Linked DNA regions of Styela clava. The protein of the gene in region 1 purifies or fractionates together with the protein of each later gene. This does not show direct contact. Links are inferred from orthologs where the notes say so. Each region holds a gene or a part of one and is shown on either strand. Other genes may lie near its edges.

Region 1 (7,928 bases):
TTACCAAGGAATCATTATTTGACTAGTAGAATTGCCATTATTGCCGATTTATTGAAAAAATATTTAAACTCCAAATAACTGTGGCGTACCAAAATTGATATCACCACGCAGGTTCTTTCTGCCAGCTTATTGGACACTGAAGTTGCACTAGATGTCAATCACGAAATAATCTTCTTGCGGTTCCAATTACAGCAGAGTAACTAAGTTAACTAACTAGATTAATTATACACCTGTAAGAACTTAATACAACCAAATACTCCAATAAGAAATACAATAAACAAATAAAAACACAGTACAAATACCGTAGGATACATACGTAACACAAGATACGGAATTGGTCTATGACGTCACAGTCATGAACTATTTACTTATAATGGGATACAAAAACCGGGTAAAACATACCTAGATATACATAAGAATAACTAGTATGACACTAAAGATACAACACAAATCCTACCTTAGCGACAAACACGTAATATACATGGAAATACGCATAGACATATGGAAATCACACAGGAAATAAACTGCGAAAATAGACTAGTTACGGAAGTTTTAAATACAAGTTAACTAGTGAACAGAGCTATGCCAAACTGGTGAAATAGTAAACCTGTACTACTAATATCATTTTGCAACAATAATTACACAAATTACCGGCAATAAAACGCTATAACAATAACCTAATACACAGAGAAATATCTACACTGCCGGCAGTCTGACAAACCAAGTGAAAGAGAAAGTTACACAGTTGCTCACTAGTGACTCAAGTGGTAAGAATAAATATGGGCATACAGAATAAAACAGAGTTATAGACGTGGTCGTCTCATAACATTAAAATTCATGCAATGACTTTGCCGGGTTTTCATTCAATATTTAATACGAAAATAAAAAAGGCACAATAAAAAAATAAAGTCATAAGAAGGTCAACTATTTTCTTCATAGATATCCGCATTCCGGCATTAGAAATGGTAATTTTGTTAGCTTGAAATTGGGAAGCGCGTGATGGGCGATGCGTTCGAAGATCTCGTAGTACCCGTGCGGCCGCGCATGTTTAACAATAATTTGAGGTGCTCCGAAGGCGCTCTCGTGTACCCTATTGTAAGATAACTCTTATAATATTGGTAACTATTAACCATGTTTTCAGGCTCGACTATCGCACTTTTCCGAAATGATAATTTTGTAAGACGGGGACAATCGGGTTTCTTTCCTCTATTCTGATATTCTTTGGTTTTCATTATTTTATAGCAAAATATAAGATGGGAACTGGAACTGAATTGGAGTCGGGATCGAAATTGTTTACAACTCAGAGACCAGTGAAAATGTTTTTAGGTCACATACGTCTTGGACTAAAACTTGGAAAACCGGACAAACAGGATTGAATACAGACTAGCTTTTATATCTTTTATACATTGGAGCTGCTTCGATAAAAATTGCGTTGATCACTTGTAACACGTGATTGAAATAAGGGACTTCGAGGAAACAGAAATAATCGACTTAGCTGCCGACACTGGATTGGTCAGTAAATTCATGCGAGAGAAACAATTCATAGGAACAATCGATGTTCAACACAACAAGATGGAAGCTCCGGAATGTTGGACATTGCAAAGAATAAAAACATTTACTCCAATTTCTACGAATTCGAACCAATTTTGCAACAAGAGAAGCAACGCCCGAAACTAGTTTTCGTGTTTTTATGTTTGTTGTTTACTTTTTAGTTTTATTTGTTTACAAAAAACAGCAGCTAATCAATTAAATATTATTATTGGTTTTCGCATTTCGGCACAGGCACCGTCACATAACTTCTAAATGTTTTTGTATTTATCACGACTTTCACTCATCAAAATATTTACAACATGACAAGTAAGCTTTGCCCGTGAAATTTATTTTCTCGTGATTATGTACTCTGTTCTTTAATTTATTCTAGTATGATTGTCTTGGTGTGTTTCACGTGTGTGAATGTGGGTGAATGGGCATAATCGCTGGTTACAGCGTTCGTTATAAACCTTTATATAGGTTTTGCCCACTTTCCCGATCTTTCAGTTGACCTTGTCTGTGTTCTTTTTATTTGTGTTGTAGACGAAAGATCGAAATAAAATTGTATTGTATTGTATTGTAAAATGGCTTTATGAGTAAAAAAGATTTTTGTTTTGTGATATGTGTTCCGCGAATATTTGAAGAGCTCGTTAGTGTGCCGCGATAAATAAAATGTTGGTAACCACTGCTGTATATGAATATCTGACTATTGCATTCTGTCGCAGTGAATGTACCACACACGTTTCAGTCTTTTCAAGTAGCCACGTCCGCATCCGACGACGGTCCGAACAAAAAAAAAACGATTTCCTCAAAAATCAAATCGGGACGAATCATCTAAGCCAGGGGTCGGCAACCTTTTGTCGCTCGCAGGCCAAAATTAAAGGTTGCAAGTCATTGGCGGGTCGCACATATTTTAAAAAAGTTGAAAACCAAACGGATGATACTTTTTATAATAAAAATCAAGCAGTGATACATCTATCGAATAGAATATAGATTTATTTCCTCACTGCATTTCATGAAATTACATTTGAATATTTTCGGCGCCATTGAAGCCTTTGCACTTAGCATCAATTTTTCTGCGTTTTGTTGCCATTTGTCTAATTATAATTAATTAAATTATATGCTCATTAAACTAGTAGTAGTGAATTATATACTTGTTAGGTTATAATACAATTTAGTCTAAAGAATATAATTGTCAAAACGGCTGTTTCGTAACTATAATTCAGTGAATATATTGGTCGTAGGTTGCCGACCCCTAATCTAAGCTCTCAACAAGCGACATTGCGCTTAGATCCAAGATCTATATCTTCACCGAATACAAGCACGCAACGATCAACAGTTGTTACAGTAGGTATCCGAAATTTAAGTTACTTTTATATTACTTACATCCGGAAAAAAGTCCTTCTAGGACACCCATGGTCATTTCTGTTACAGTCGCAAGCTTGCGAATTTTATTTCAGGTTTAGGCTGTTGATAAACGAGAACGATGCATTTCTTATTTTTAACGTCCACTCCGGATTTCAGAACTCGGAGTTATCTGGAACTCCAGACACTCCACCAAACCGCTGATTGACGTTTCTGATTCTTGACGTGTCTCTCAGCAAGTGCTTGAGGAATGAAGCGCGTTGTGGTTTATGTTTTTCTTGTTAGTGTATCACTGTTTCATATATAAACCTGCCTTTAACAAACTGATTAGTTCGATCTGAATATAAAATTCCCACTGGCAGACTGGTGTTGAAATTCAATCTGAGTATAAAAGAGGATGAATGGTATTCATAAAAGCTAGGTAGCCTACGGTAGCCGGTACCGGTAGCGTCCAGCGCGAGTTTGCATTTCAGCTTTTTTTTTAATTTAGGCGGTACGGTACCGATTTACCGTACCTTATTTCATTATTCGGCGAGGGACCTGCCTAATTGTAGGTTGTGTAGAATTTCATTTCGCACCCGTTTTTGTTTTTTCAAAAGCTGAAATGACTGACTTAATCATGAATAATTTCAGACCTATTCATGTTTGGTGTTATTCAGTTATTCAAGCAGTCCCAGTGGTAACTTAGTATATTCATTTATGCCAGAGTGGTATCTGATTTTATGTTTTCATTGATTACTACATTATCAGGTTTTAGTCTCTAAAAGTTCATAATAATAGAATATAAAGATGACAAAAATCGAAACTTGGGAAGAGTTTGCAAAAGCTGCTGAAAGACTTTATCAAAGTGATCCCTTCAATGTCAGATACTCAATAAAATACAGACACTGCAACGGAAATCTTGTGATCACAGTAACAGACGATCAAATAAGACTGCAGTATGAAACAGAACATGCTAACGATGTAAAAAAGATTGAAAAATTAACAGCAAATTTTTTAAGGATGATGGTGCACTAAATTGATACCTTATTTGGTCGAGTTTGCTGGTGATTGATTGGCATTTTTTAATTGGAGATTTATTGCTTATCATTTTTGAAGCACTATTGGATAAGAGTGTTGTAAGACAATATTAGAATCAGAGCGTTAAACTGTTGTTATTAATGCGCTAATGTACGTTTCTTGTTTAGTATAATTCTGAACAGTCGAATTGGACTTGGCAATGCTGCTTATTCTGCTCACACATCGTTGCGTTTGTTTTACAATTCTGTCTTGGTGGCATTAGACCGTTTGTATGTGCATTTTTTTCTTTGCAGATTATATGTTTCATGAAATCGAAAAAAGACTGATGTTCTTGATAGCTTAATACTTTATTTGGAAAAAGTTATTAATTGAAATATTAGTAATTATATTCCTATTACAATATATTTTCTGATATTTCTTTTTTTCGACCAATTTATGTCAATGCGTGCCTTTTCGATATTCTAAATTTAAAACAATTGTTAATTTGTTTTATGTTTATGAATCAATTTCTGTGGGACAGGATGTATGTGTCATTAAATGTGTGATAAAACTGCTTGCATCGCTGCAAAGTTTTTTAACGACCACATTCAGAGTTTTTTTCGATATGCAAGATTAACTAGCTTATACAACTATATTGTCAATTTTGTGGGATATATTTTAGATAAGATTTGTTGCCTTAAATAAAAATGTACGTTCATGAAGACTAAATTTTTTTTTCGAATGCAAACGGAATTTTTCGATATCATATGATTTGTTTATTTGGTGCTCCCGAAGTATGCGAACCAAGATGGCGGACATCGGAACGTAACATGGGTAACAGGTTAGGGTTAAGCGATAATTTTTTTCCAATTTTCCTTATTTTAGTCCTATTATCAGTTTGAAGACTAGCCAAGAGCCTCCCGTAGTATTTATACCTAAAATTATGGCCTAACCCTAACATAGTACTCATATTACATTCCGATGTCCGCCATCTTGGTTCGCATACTTCGGGAGCCCCGTTTATTTAAATTATGAGCGGACTTTATGAACGCTCTCTGTACTGGATATCTTGTTTTGGATTTGTGATGTGCATGATGGAACTTTGTCTTTATTTTATGTTGGTTTAGAACTGTTTTATGTTGAAATAAGTAATATGTGTAAATTTGAATTTTAGTTTGTTTCGCAATGTAGTGCATAAATCTTTTCTTAGTCCTAAAAATGATGCCCAGATGAGCATGATTGAACTTATATCATTATTGTTATTATTTTTGCTGATTTGATTAAGGAAGGATTTTAGTAATGAATTGACTGAATATTTTGTGTAATTTGATTTTCAGTTGAATTATATATTGTATAAATATTAATTTTTGGCCTAAGAATGGCCGCTGAGGTGGAGGATGCAACTGTGGAAGTAGAAGATGAATTTGTGGAGGAACAAATTGATCTGAAAAATATTAATCCCAATGTGATGATGGCTTCTTACTATGCAGGTGAGTAATGTGATGTTGCAGTATGATTTTGTTGGCTTCAAAGCCACATGATAGTATGATAACGTAGGTAAAGAAGTTATTAAATTATACGTGGATTGCTCAGATATGAAAATTAATTCCAAACAGCAGTCTGACTTAGAAGAAACCTTGTCGAACGGTTTTCAATGCATGGATCAAAAATTATATTTTTTGGAGGTGGACTTATTGCATATTTTTCACAAGTCTCATAATTCTTGGTTGGTAGTTTTGATCCACTTATATCAGGGCTGAGACGATTTCTGGTACCCCATATTTTGGGCAAAATATGCAAAACATGGATTTGCATCATCAAAAAACGTTTGTAATACGGCAAATCTTTTAATAGTTTAAAGAGGTAGCAGTGTTGAACACCTCTTATAAATTTGTACCATCATTTTGAAAATAATAATTTTCACTTTTTGTATTTAGTAACATCATTTCTTGCCACATATGGATGGACTCTCATGGTAATTGCTGTTCTACTTATAATATTATGGAGTAACATTGAGAAAAAAGTCAAGAAAATGATTGAAAGAGCAAAAGAACGAAATGATCCCGTGGAAAATGGTAAGTCGACTTGCAATATTAAAAATGATCTTGTATAATATAGAACAGCGTTTTTCAAACTTTTTTGGCCCCGGAGCGTATTTTATCTTGCCTCGCGGAACGCCAAGAAATTAGAAAATAAAATTAATGGATAGTTTTCAAATAATTTATTCTATGTTGAAATTAAAATGTTTGCTGTTAATTTGACTCTTAGAAAGTCAACCATATTGAATGGTTAATGAAAACTCCATGATTTTTAGACTGGCGCTAGGCCTATCTGCCTTTTTAGATAGCAGGGCCCTTTCCGCCTTTTTGGAGGCAAATTTACTATCCAGAGTTGCCGAAATGAAACCGAGTTTGGCATGACGACCAATTAAGTCGCAATTTCGATTCCTGTTCCACGGAACGCTTCGAAGAAGCTCTCAGAACGCAGTCAGAGAAGCGCTGATATAGAATATTACAAGAGAAATTTCTTTAATTGAGGTCACTCAAACTCACTCAAATGTGAAAGAAACACAACATATTAGACAAGTTACAGGCGGCCATCGAGATACGAGTAGCTACTGATACTATATTTGAGATGCATTGTGCCGATTGACCTATGGTGACGCCTTTTTTTACTTGAGAAACCCGAATATTATAAAGATTTCACAATCATGCATGGAGACTATAGAATATTTCAAAGAAGGTTGTGTAGCTCCCTATTAAAAACTATATTCTTCAATTATTTCAAATATTTTTTTGCTACTTAGATCCTGAAGTTCTGGCTAAAAGAGCTGAAGCAATGGAACTTGCCAGACAAAGAATGCAGGAAAAAGCATCTGCAATTCTAAGAAGGGAGGCAGAGAGAAGGCAAGAGGTGGATAAATTTTATTGTTCATTCCTTAGTATAATATTGATGATCGATTCATATTGCCAGTCAAATAATTATGCTTGAATTAGTAGCAATTTCTAAGTACAGGGAGTCCACGACTTACGATGTTGTTCCGTTCTCGAGACGCGGTGTAACCCCAATTTCAGTGTAAGTCTGAACATTATACTGTACATTGCATAAATTACTCTACACATATCGTACTGTATTGTAAAGCATGGTACTGTAATTAAATGTACAAATAATGCAGAAAAGTGCTTTATTAAAAAATACAGAAAACAATTTCATATCCCATGAATAAAAGCAAATACTGTACAGTACAGTATCATTTTTTATATTTTTAATGGCATGGTTTGTAACCTCGGAACAGCATTATGGAGTGCGCATTCGCAACCTCGAAACAGCGTAAGTCGCGAATGTCGTAACCCGAGACCTCCCTGTATGGGGATTTAACAGACTTCTTTTCAGAATCCTTTCTTTTTAATTTGTAAACATTTTGGAGTTTTGAAATAAACTGCTGCCCATTGCTCGAAAAAACTCGATTTATTTTATTTGGCATTTATTTATCTTTTTCCTTGATTGAGAGGCCTTAGTAGTCCATGATTAAGTCAACATAATAGGTTTTCTTCTCCGTTGCTACTTCCCATTGCTTGAGACAACTCAAAATTGCATTCACCAGTGTATTTTGTGTATTGAGAGGCCATGATTAAGCCCACACAATGGTTTTCTGCACCATAAATTTGGATTTCTTTGTAAGCTTGCTAATTTGTGTATATTATGCTAGTGCAGTTGATTAAAAGTAGAGATAGATATATTTTATAAGGTACCATCACCATATGAATTGCCATGATGGTGGAACAATATTGGTATTGGGATGCCAAATAGATAGTAGGTTTTCTTTCAGAGCTGTATTAGGCCTTGGTTTTGCCCTTATAGAATTTGCTACCAACCATCTAAGCCGGCTCATTAACAGGCGCTCCAAAACTTTGTGTACCAATTTGGGGGTACTGGTAACTACGGTAATTTTGTTGGCCTATTTTATATAATATTGTGTAAAGGGACTGAAACCTATGGGCAGGGGGTATATTCACTTGGCTAACACACACAGT
Region 2 (8,022 bases), on another chromosome or scaffold:
CATCAGCTGGTGCAGCACGTCGAGACTGTGGTGCAACACCAAACCCTGATACAGCACCTCGCATGTTGGGAAAGTATTTATATCTAGTAAATAAAATAAGATTAGCAATTTAGTCATATAAAGAGTGGCAAAAAAATGAAAAAAAGTTATTGATCATTCGCTGCAAGTTATACTATTCATTCTGCACTCGTTTTGTGTTTCTGATTTCTGATACCCTTTTTCATACACTGCTAATTTTTAAATCTTAATTCCACAAGCATTAAAAGTTGATAATAAAAATGGTAGACGACAATGCATCCAAATGTTCGTAACAAACAAACATTACTCACAAAAACTGAGGTGTTTCCAATAATGCTCTTCCACCAAAATCTTGAGGATATTTAAATTTCAAAAAGAAGTAAAGATGACCAACAAATATACCAAGTAGTTCCGACATTCCTCTGTAATGCAAAATGATGTAATATCTCTGTATGACCAATTAGTATTTGAATATAGTTGAAATGAAAAATTCAGAACTTACCCTCCTCTGATAATCATGTTGAATGCAAACAAAACCCATGGTAAGTAAGCGGCCTGGAAAATAGAGTAAATTTTTACAGTACTCCTAGCAATTCTATCCCACAAGTATAAAAATGGTGCCGCTTTGAGGCAAACAGCACAATTTAATATTATTGGCATATTTACATTTAAGTGGTACAAATTATGTGAATACAGTGTGAAAATCTTTAGTCAGAATGAAATCATAAATTTACAGAACATGAAATAGACACTCAATACACAATTATAATTGTCTAAATTTCTACAAATAAACTCACCTTAAACCTGGTTCCAAACCAGAATGATACAATTTGATCGCGATTTATTTGACACCAAACGTACAAAGCAGAGAAAATGAGTAAATCAAACATGATCTAAAAATAAATATATAAGTAATGAAAATCATTTTTAACGTGCTTATAAATGCTCAGCACTGGTGACATTATAATGTTGGATTACTTTGATGAACTCCAAAACTGAGTATGTGAGTCTTAGTCTTCTAGATATTTTAAGCATATTGAAATGATGAAAGCATAATTAAATTAACTTACCCTGATTTCCAGAGCCAATGCCAATCCCTGAATTAAAAAAAAACAGGTATGGTTAAATTAATTCAGATGGGCAGAATGAAAAAAATGCATGGCTTAATTTGCTCCTATGAAATGTAATAAGTTATTATAATTTTCAAGTTTGAATGAAAAAGTCAAGAATTTATATGTATTAAAATTTTTCATGAATAAAGCCAAAAATGTAAAACATAGAAACATTGAATAATCAATAAAATTTGAATGCATAAATCCTAATAATAAGGAACATGATATTTTCAACTTTTTTTGAGAATAAATTGACTACTCAGTCATCATAAATTGCGATTGTCGAATATAAGAAATATGGTAAATTTGAACAGAACCGAAAAGTGATTCAATACTTGGCCAAGTAGATCACTTACGATTCATGCTTTGAGAAATGTAAGAAGGTTAGGCTACTACTATAATTTCAACAACTACAATCAGGTATAGAGCAAGGCTACATTCATGAAAATAGTTCCTACCACTGTAGTAAGCCATGTGAAAGCAAGCATGAAAACATAGTCTGCAGGTCTCCCTTCAAATATACCTGTATGTAAATGTATAAATGAATTAAATATAGAAAGAATGCGTGTGTGATTAAGTCATCCAATCGGCTTTCCTCTCCCATGTGATAAAATATAAAACTAAAATATTAATTTCATAATTTCTGGTAGCAGACGACAAAATGGTAATACCAAGATATACCAGGATGAACCAAAAAGAAATAGTCATAATAAACATTATTTATAAAGCAATATAAAATGTGACCTCTGCTAAAAACAATTGAGATGATGAACAAGGATTATTATGATGTGTAATAAAAAATTAGGTAAGAAAATTAATCACCAGTTTCAAGTCTTGTTGAATAACTGTACAAAAAATATAACATAATGAGATAATGAAAACCAGTCATCGGTGTTATTGGGTAATAAACAGCAGCAGTGAATGGACGCCATATCTGAAACAAGGAGTGAAAGAAAGTATAATTATGGTCAATATTTTAACATTTCTATACATCAAAAATTAGTATTAAAATATATAACAAATTACCTGAAATCTACTGAATAAACTGTACCAATCCAAGATCAAATGCATTCCATTAATAATGTTAAATTTGGCCACAAGTGGAACTACAACTGATGCACTGAACCTGAAAAGAGAATGTGTGTAAAATAATGGTATATTACAGAACATCAGTACTACAGTGGATAGGATAGGATTTACATATTTATCCCGGGGGAGAGGAAAGCCGATAAGACGGCTTATCCATATGGCAAACCACGGCCTCTCGTCCGGTTAGACGAGAGTCCCATTCCAAGTCGGGTATGGGATTAGTTAGTTATACTGTATTGTTTGTTTTCGGAAGCATGGACTTGGTGGTGGAGGAAGCCGTAACCGACCAGCGGTTACGTGAACCACCCAACGACGGCGAGGAGTCCAGCAATCCTCTCGCACATAACCATCTCTGCATGGGATGCGAACCCACGCAGAGTAATTAGAGGTGCGGTGGCGAGCGTATTCCTAATGCTTAACCCATTGAGCCACACCGCCGCGCCGATGTTGGAAGTACATGAGGTATGAAGCTAGGTACTGGTAGATAGGCACAGTACTATATAATGAATACCTGACTGTTGGACCCAAAGACTGTGTGTAAACTGTACCTGTGTAGCCTACCTGTATTGTCTGATTGGAGTGTAACTACAGTCAGTTGGTAAAAAAATTTACGTACCGGTAACTTACCAATAACGAGTTATTCTCGGTATTCCACGATACCAGTCTCCAATATCATTAGACGCCATCTTTGAATATCCCTTATTATAAAACTACACCTAATACTCACGACAAACTGACAAAATATCAATGAAAACTTTAAAAACCAGCAAACAACAAGTTCTTCTTTGCAGACGTGTCTCAAATTATGCACAATAATGTAGATATAATGACGTAGTATGACTTGACAAATATATTGACAGACACATGTGCACCACCTTGTGATCAGATCCAGGAAGGATTACCGTACTTTGGGTTTCTTTTGGCATTTGGTGGTTGTTTGTAGTGAGAATAAGTATTTCGTGAGTGTACAGAGACAAAATATCAATCAAAATGGGGGATCGATATAATATATTTTCTCAAATGGAGCATTTGCAGTCGAAATATGTCGGTACTGGACACTCTGACACTACAAAATGGGAATGGTTGACAAATCAACATCGTGATAGTCTTGCTTCTTACATTGGTCACCCGGATCTTCTAAGTCACATTGCTATTGCGGAAAACGAAACAAGAGCTCGAGTTCGATTTAATGTGTTAGAAAGAATGTTCCAACCTTGTGGACCACCTCCTGATCGTCCAAATGTTGATTGAAGTGTGATTTAATTGGAAAGCGCTTGGAAACTGACATCTGCAGATCTGAGACACATGTCATACCCACCTCAAAATTGACTAGTGTTATGAAGCATGAACTGCCATGTTCTTACTAGTTTTAATATTTAGTTGTTTGAGAAGTTTAAAACTGAAATATTTCACAGGAAATACTGCAATGCTTTGTATTTAATTTGAAATGATATTACTATCTTGATGAAATTAATTTGATTTCACTATGAATAAAGCTCTAGACAAGAAGTCCATATGAAATTAAACTATTTTATTCAATCAAGTATTATTTTTCATATCCAAACTGCTAATAAATGTAGGTCCATAATTACAGAATTAAAATGATTTACAAATAGAGATATGTTCCTAATATTTTCTATTGTAATAGGTTAAATAATTGTGGCTATCTATCCATCGTGGCTTGCGTTTATAGATGAATGTGTTTCGAAATTTTCAATTTTGAAGCCATCCTGTTTTATAAATTTGTCATGTTTTAATTGTTGAAATGGATTGAATCAAATCAGTAATTCTTGTCAGTACAACTCCACTAAGCACAGCTTTAAAAACAATTCATTTTGAGTTATTTTATCAAAATGTAGCCCCGATCAGGCAGGGAAACTTTTTTTGAAACAACTTTATTTTTGTCATTTCTCTTGTCTCACCTAATTCGAACGATATATTATTCATGCTCATGTCAATTTTTTCTTCGACTTCATTTCTTGAAACATGATATTGTACTGCAAATGTTTTTTATTTAGGTAGTAATCTTTTAAAATCTTAATTCTATCAAATATTCAACATTGTAATGATGGAAAAAGAAGCTGATATTACTGCCGAGGAGTTTGCACAATATGATCGCCAAATTCGATTGTGGGGACTTGATGCACAAAAACGTCTTCGTCAAGCTAAAGTTCTTGTTGTTGGAATCGGTGGACTTGCTTCTGAGGTGGTCAAAAATGTTGTACTTGCAGGTGTAAAGGCTTTGACAATGCTTGATGACAAAGTAGTTTCAGAGTCTGATATGGGTTCTCAGCTTCTTGTAACTCATTTAGACATGGGAAAAAATAGAGCAGAAGCATCAATGGCCCGAACACAGCCGCTCAATCCAAATGTAATCGTATCATGCGATAAGATGCCAATTTCGGATAAACCGGATGATTTTTTTCGAGAGTTTGATATAGTTTGTTTAACGGAGGTACCATTCGAAGAAAGGATAAGAATTAATTTAATATGCAGATCATCTGGAATCAAATTCTTTTGTGGTGATGTTTTCGGATTTTATGGATATTGCTTTGCTGATTTGGGGATGCATGATTTTGTGCGTGAAGAAGTGAAAAAAGAGATAAAGTATGATCTTGATGGAGAACCAGAAGCAAAAAAGAGCAAACTAGATGAAAAGGGCAAAAAAGAAGAAGAAAAGATTCTTGTAAAAGTTACAGATGAATTTTGTAGCCTTGAAGAATCTTTAACTGAGGATTGGTCAACAAGATCAAGGAGAATGATGCGACAATCATCATATATTTTTTTTATCATTAAAGTAATTGACAAATTCAAGGAAAAGACGGGTCGAAGTCCAACATTCGGCAAAGAAGATCAAAATTTACTCCTAGAACTGAGAAATGAGGTTCTCAAGGATTCAAATGTTTCAGAAACTTACATTCCTGAAGAATTTCCTCAATTTTGTATTTCCGAACTGAATCCAATTTGTGCGATAACTGGTGGGGTATTGGGCCAAGAAATCATAAAAGCTGCATCACAACGAGATGCTCCACATAATAACTATTTTTTCTACAATGGTCGTAGTCATGCTGGCATAGTAGATCAAATTTGTCCACCTTTTAAATAACGGATGGAATCTCACATTAGCATAATTCTGCAGTTTAAATGCAACTACATAAAACAATAGAATTTAAAATTACTAGCACTAGCACAAGGGCTGGGCACAGACATTTGTTCAGAATTGAACAAGTGCCTAATCTGTTCTCTTCTAGTCATCCCTACTACACTTGGTTGGCAGAATGGCTTGATTTTTTTTTCTGGTTTTTTACTTTGTATTTTTGTATTCTTAATAACCTTTTCCTAGCCTGATAACTAAGAGAAAATGACACCAAATAAGCTCTTTTTTCATGTTATATATATTCAATGTCATCAGAAAATAGCTGCTGTACTGTACACCAAAGCAATAAACTGAAATTATTTGATTGATTGGAAAGATGTAATTACAGTGAAGAAAGTAGAATAAAATAGCGAATGAGTGCATTCGAATGTCAACTAAGCTATTGCGGGTTATCTTGGAATAGAATCATTTTTTAATTTGAAAGGGGGGCTTTTACACTCTAAATTTCATTCATTCATACAGGAGGGCCAGATACAAATATCTGGGTGAAACCACAGGCTGTATGTAGAGTACCTTTGATTAACAAAGGCTTTCTAGTAGTTAAAACACGAAAATGGTTGTGCCATAGATAAATTAATTGGACTCGGGTTTAGGCTTAAAACGCTAAGAGTTTGAAATTAATGGCACGAACCAGATTTAACTAAATTGAAAATTCATGGGCCGGACATTATCAAAAATTAGCGCTCCATCGTGGGCCGCACACTTTTTTTCATTGTAGGCGAATTTGGTTGCACACCACTGCCCTAAATCAATTGATTTATAACCAGTTCAAAACTAATTTAAAAGAGACATCGTTTACATATAAAATAGATAACCCAATCATGGTCTATATAGCTTACCTGCATTAATCGTTTAGTCTATTGACCGGTCAAAAAACTCGTTAAGGTACCTGGACAATCCTTGTTATGTATGCTCTGGACTCCACAAACCTTGTAGCATTCTAATGGCATTATATTTAGGATTTTCATACATACTGGGCCAACAAACGGAATAAAATTTCCAACACACATGTATACATACGTTAATAAAATACGATTTCATCTTGAATTTGAACAAATATACAAACAATTGTCTCAATATTGAAAAGATAATAAAATATTTGATTGTATGCAGAGAGACGAGAAAAAAAATGTAGATGTAAAGGAGAAAATATATGAAAAGCCAGGTTTTTCAATGTTCATACATGCAGTATGCTTCAACCAGACATTAGGGTAAGCCTGGGTAGTCAAGACTGATATACCTGGCCATTTATAACAGAAAATAGAGTATAACCATAATGTTTAAATCTGGTGAGTGGTGACAACATCTGCCAGGAAAAGGAGAGAAGTCAAAAATGTTTTATATACAAATAAGTGCATAAAAGTGAACACAATCACACAAATAATGAAAAGTATGATATATAAATTACAAATGGGTAACAGATAGAGCACACTACGGTATGTTCCATCCAAATATAGGCGAACAAAAGTATATTCCAATTTGCTGAGACTCTCAGTGTATTCTAAAACTATCAAATTTCAATGCTTCCGTCCTTATTGATTTGGTATTCCATGGAACTGGATGGCTGACAGAATAAAAGTGATTAATTAGTGGTTAGCAAGTACTTCTCATTATCCACAAGAAGAGAAGGTTACCCAAATTTTCTTCCCATACATGCCGTATTTCCCAGCTGATTTTATTTTTTCTGAGGTCGGCTTATTTTTCGTCTTCTCAAACATGATTTAGTCTTACTGGAGGACTATATGGAAAAGTCCTCTTTTTTATTGCTAAAAATAGGCTTTGTCTTGTTTGCGGGGTAGATTAATTAGCCGAAGTTTTTTTGTATATCACTAACAATACTCGCTTCAAAATTTACCTGCTCTGATGCAGTACCTCCTTTTTCTTCAGATTCAGGCAAATGTTCTTCTATACTTTTCTGGCTTTCAGTACTTTCTGTGCCAATTTCTTCAGTATTCGATACACCTATATGTTGGTAAAAATTTTCTCGCTGAGAGTGCATTCTTCGTACGGAGTATAAAATATTCTACAATATGCTTTATCACTTCATTATTATTAATAGCAATGGCTTATTCATATCCAATATTATTACACATGGGTAAGAAGTAATATCCCTCGCTTTATCAAATCAATTCACCAAAAACAACTTGCTGTAAAATATTTTAAATAATGTGCATATTTATTGGTATAAGCAAACAAAAATGTTCCTGATAAAATGGGACGAGCCAGATATTCACCTGAAAGACTGATTTCAGTATAGTCATGCTCTGGAGTCTCTTCATGTTCTTGTTGGTCTTCATTTGCTTAAAAAATTATCAAACGTTACAATCATTGCATGATTCTTGTATAGAATATTCTAAGACAGTACTCCAATAAACAGAAGTGACTTATTTTTTCATGCCCAATTTTATTACACATAGATGGATAAGATATTCCTGACAATATGGGACAAGCCAGATATTCACCTGAAAGACCGATTTCAGCATATTCATGCTCTGAATTCTCTTCATGTTCTTGCTGGTCTTCATTTTCTTGAATAAAGTGAAATGTAGACAACATTTTTATTTTATTTTTATTTGCAAAATTATCCAATGGTAATAAAAACCATTCAAAAGCACAAAATTAAATTATGATTGGTAAAAAAATTAC

Evidence for each region. The genes of interacting proteins can lie anywhere in the genome.
Region 2: the proteins of selenoprotein S-like (region 1) and derlin-1-like purify together in Homo sapiens (affinity purification with western blotting; 6 studies listed by BioGRID and IntAct, with this or other methods). This does not show direct contact. The link is inferred for Styela clava from reciprocal best matches to the Homo sapiens genes SELENOS and DERL1.

Annotation. Positions count from the first base shown.
Region 1 is NC_135253.1:20,574,077-20,582,004, forward strand, and holds the start of selenoprotein S-like, read left to right. Parts: upstream 1-4,912; 5' UTR 4,913-5,272; coding exon 5,273-5,384; intron 5,385-5,831; coding exon 5,832-5,969; intron 5,970-6,700; coding exon 6,701-6,807; intron 6,808-7,928. UniProt on the Homo sapiens protein: Involved in the degradation process of misfolded endoplasmic reticulum (ER) luminal proteins. Participates in the transfer of misfolded proteins from the ER to the cytosol, where they are destroyed by the proteasome in a ubiquitin-dependent manner.
Region 2 is NC_135262.1:19,155,556-19,163,577, reverse strand, and holds the start of derlin-1-like, read right to left. Parts: upstream 3,020-8,022; 5' UTR 2,906-3,019; coding exon 2,847-2,905; intron 2,257-2,846; coding exon 2,157-2,256; intron 2,065-2,156; coding exon 1,953-2,064; intron 1,654-1,952; coding exon 1,589-1,653; intron 1,116-1,588; coding exon 1,089-1,115; intron 912-1,088; coding exon 816-911; intron 574-815; coding exon 521-573; intron 441-520; coding exon 330-440; intron 84-329; coding exon 1-83. Other genes in the region: splicing factor 3B subunit 5-like, read left to right, coding at 3,210-3,470; SUMO-activating enzyme subunit 1-like, read left to right, coding at 4,285-5,325; putative E3 ubiquitin-protein ligase MGRN1, read right to left, coding at 6,887-6,940, 7,232-7,338, 7,611-7,676, 7,839-7,904. UniProt on the Homo sapiens protein: Functional component of endoplasmic reticulum-associated degradation (ERAD) for misfolded lumenal proteins. Forms homotetramers which encircle a large channel traversing the endoplasmic reticulum (ER) membrane.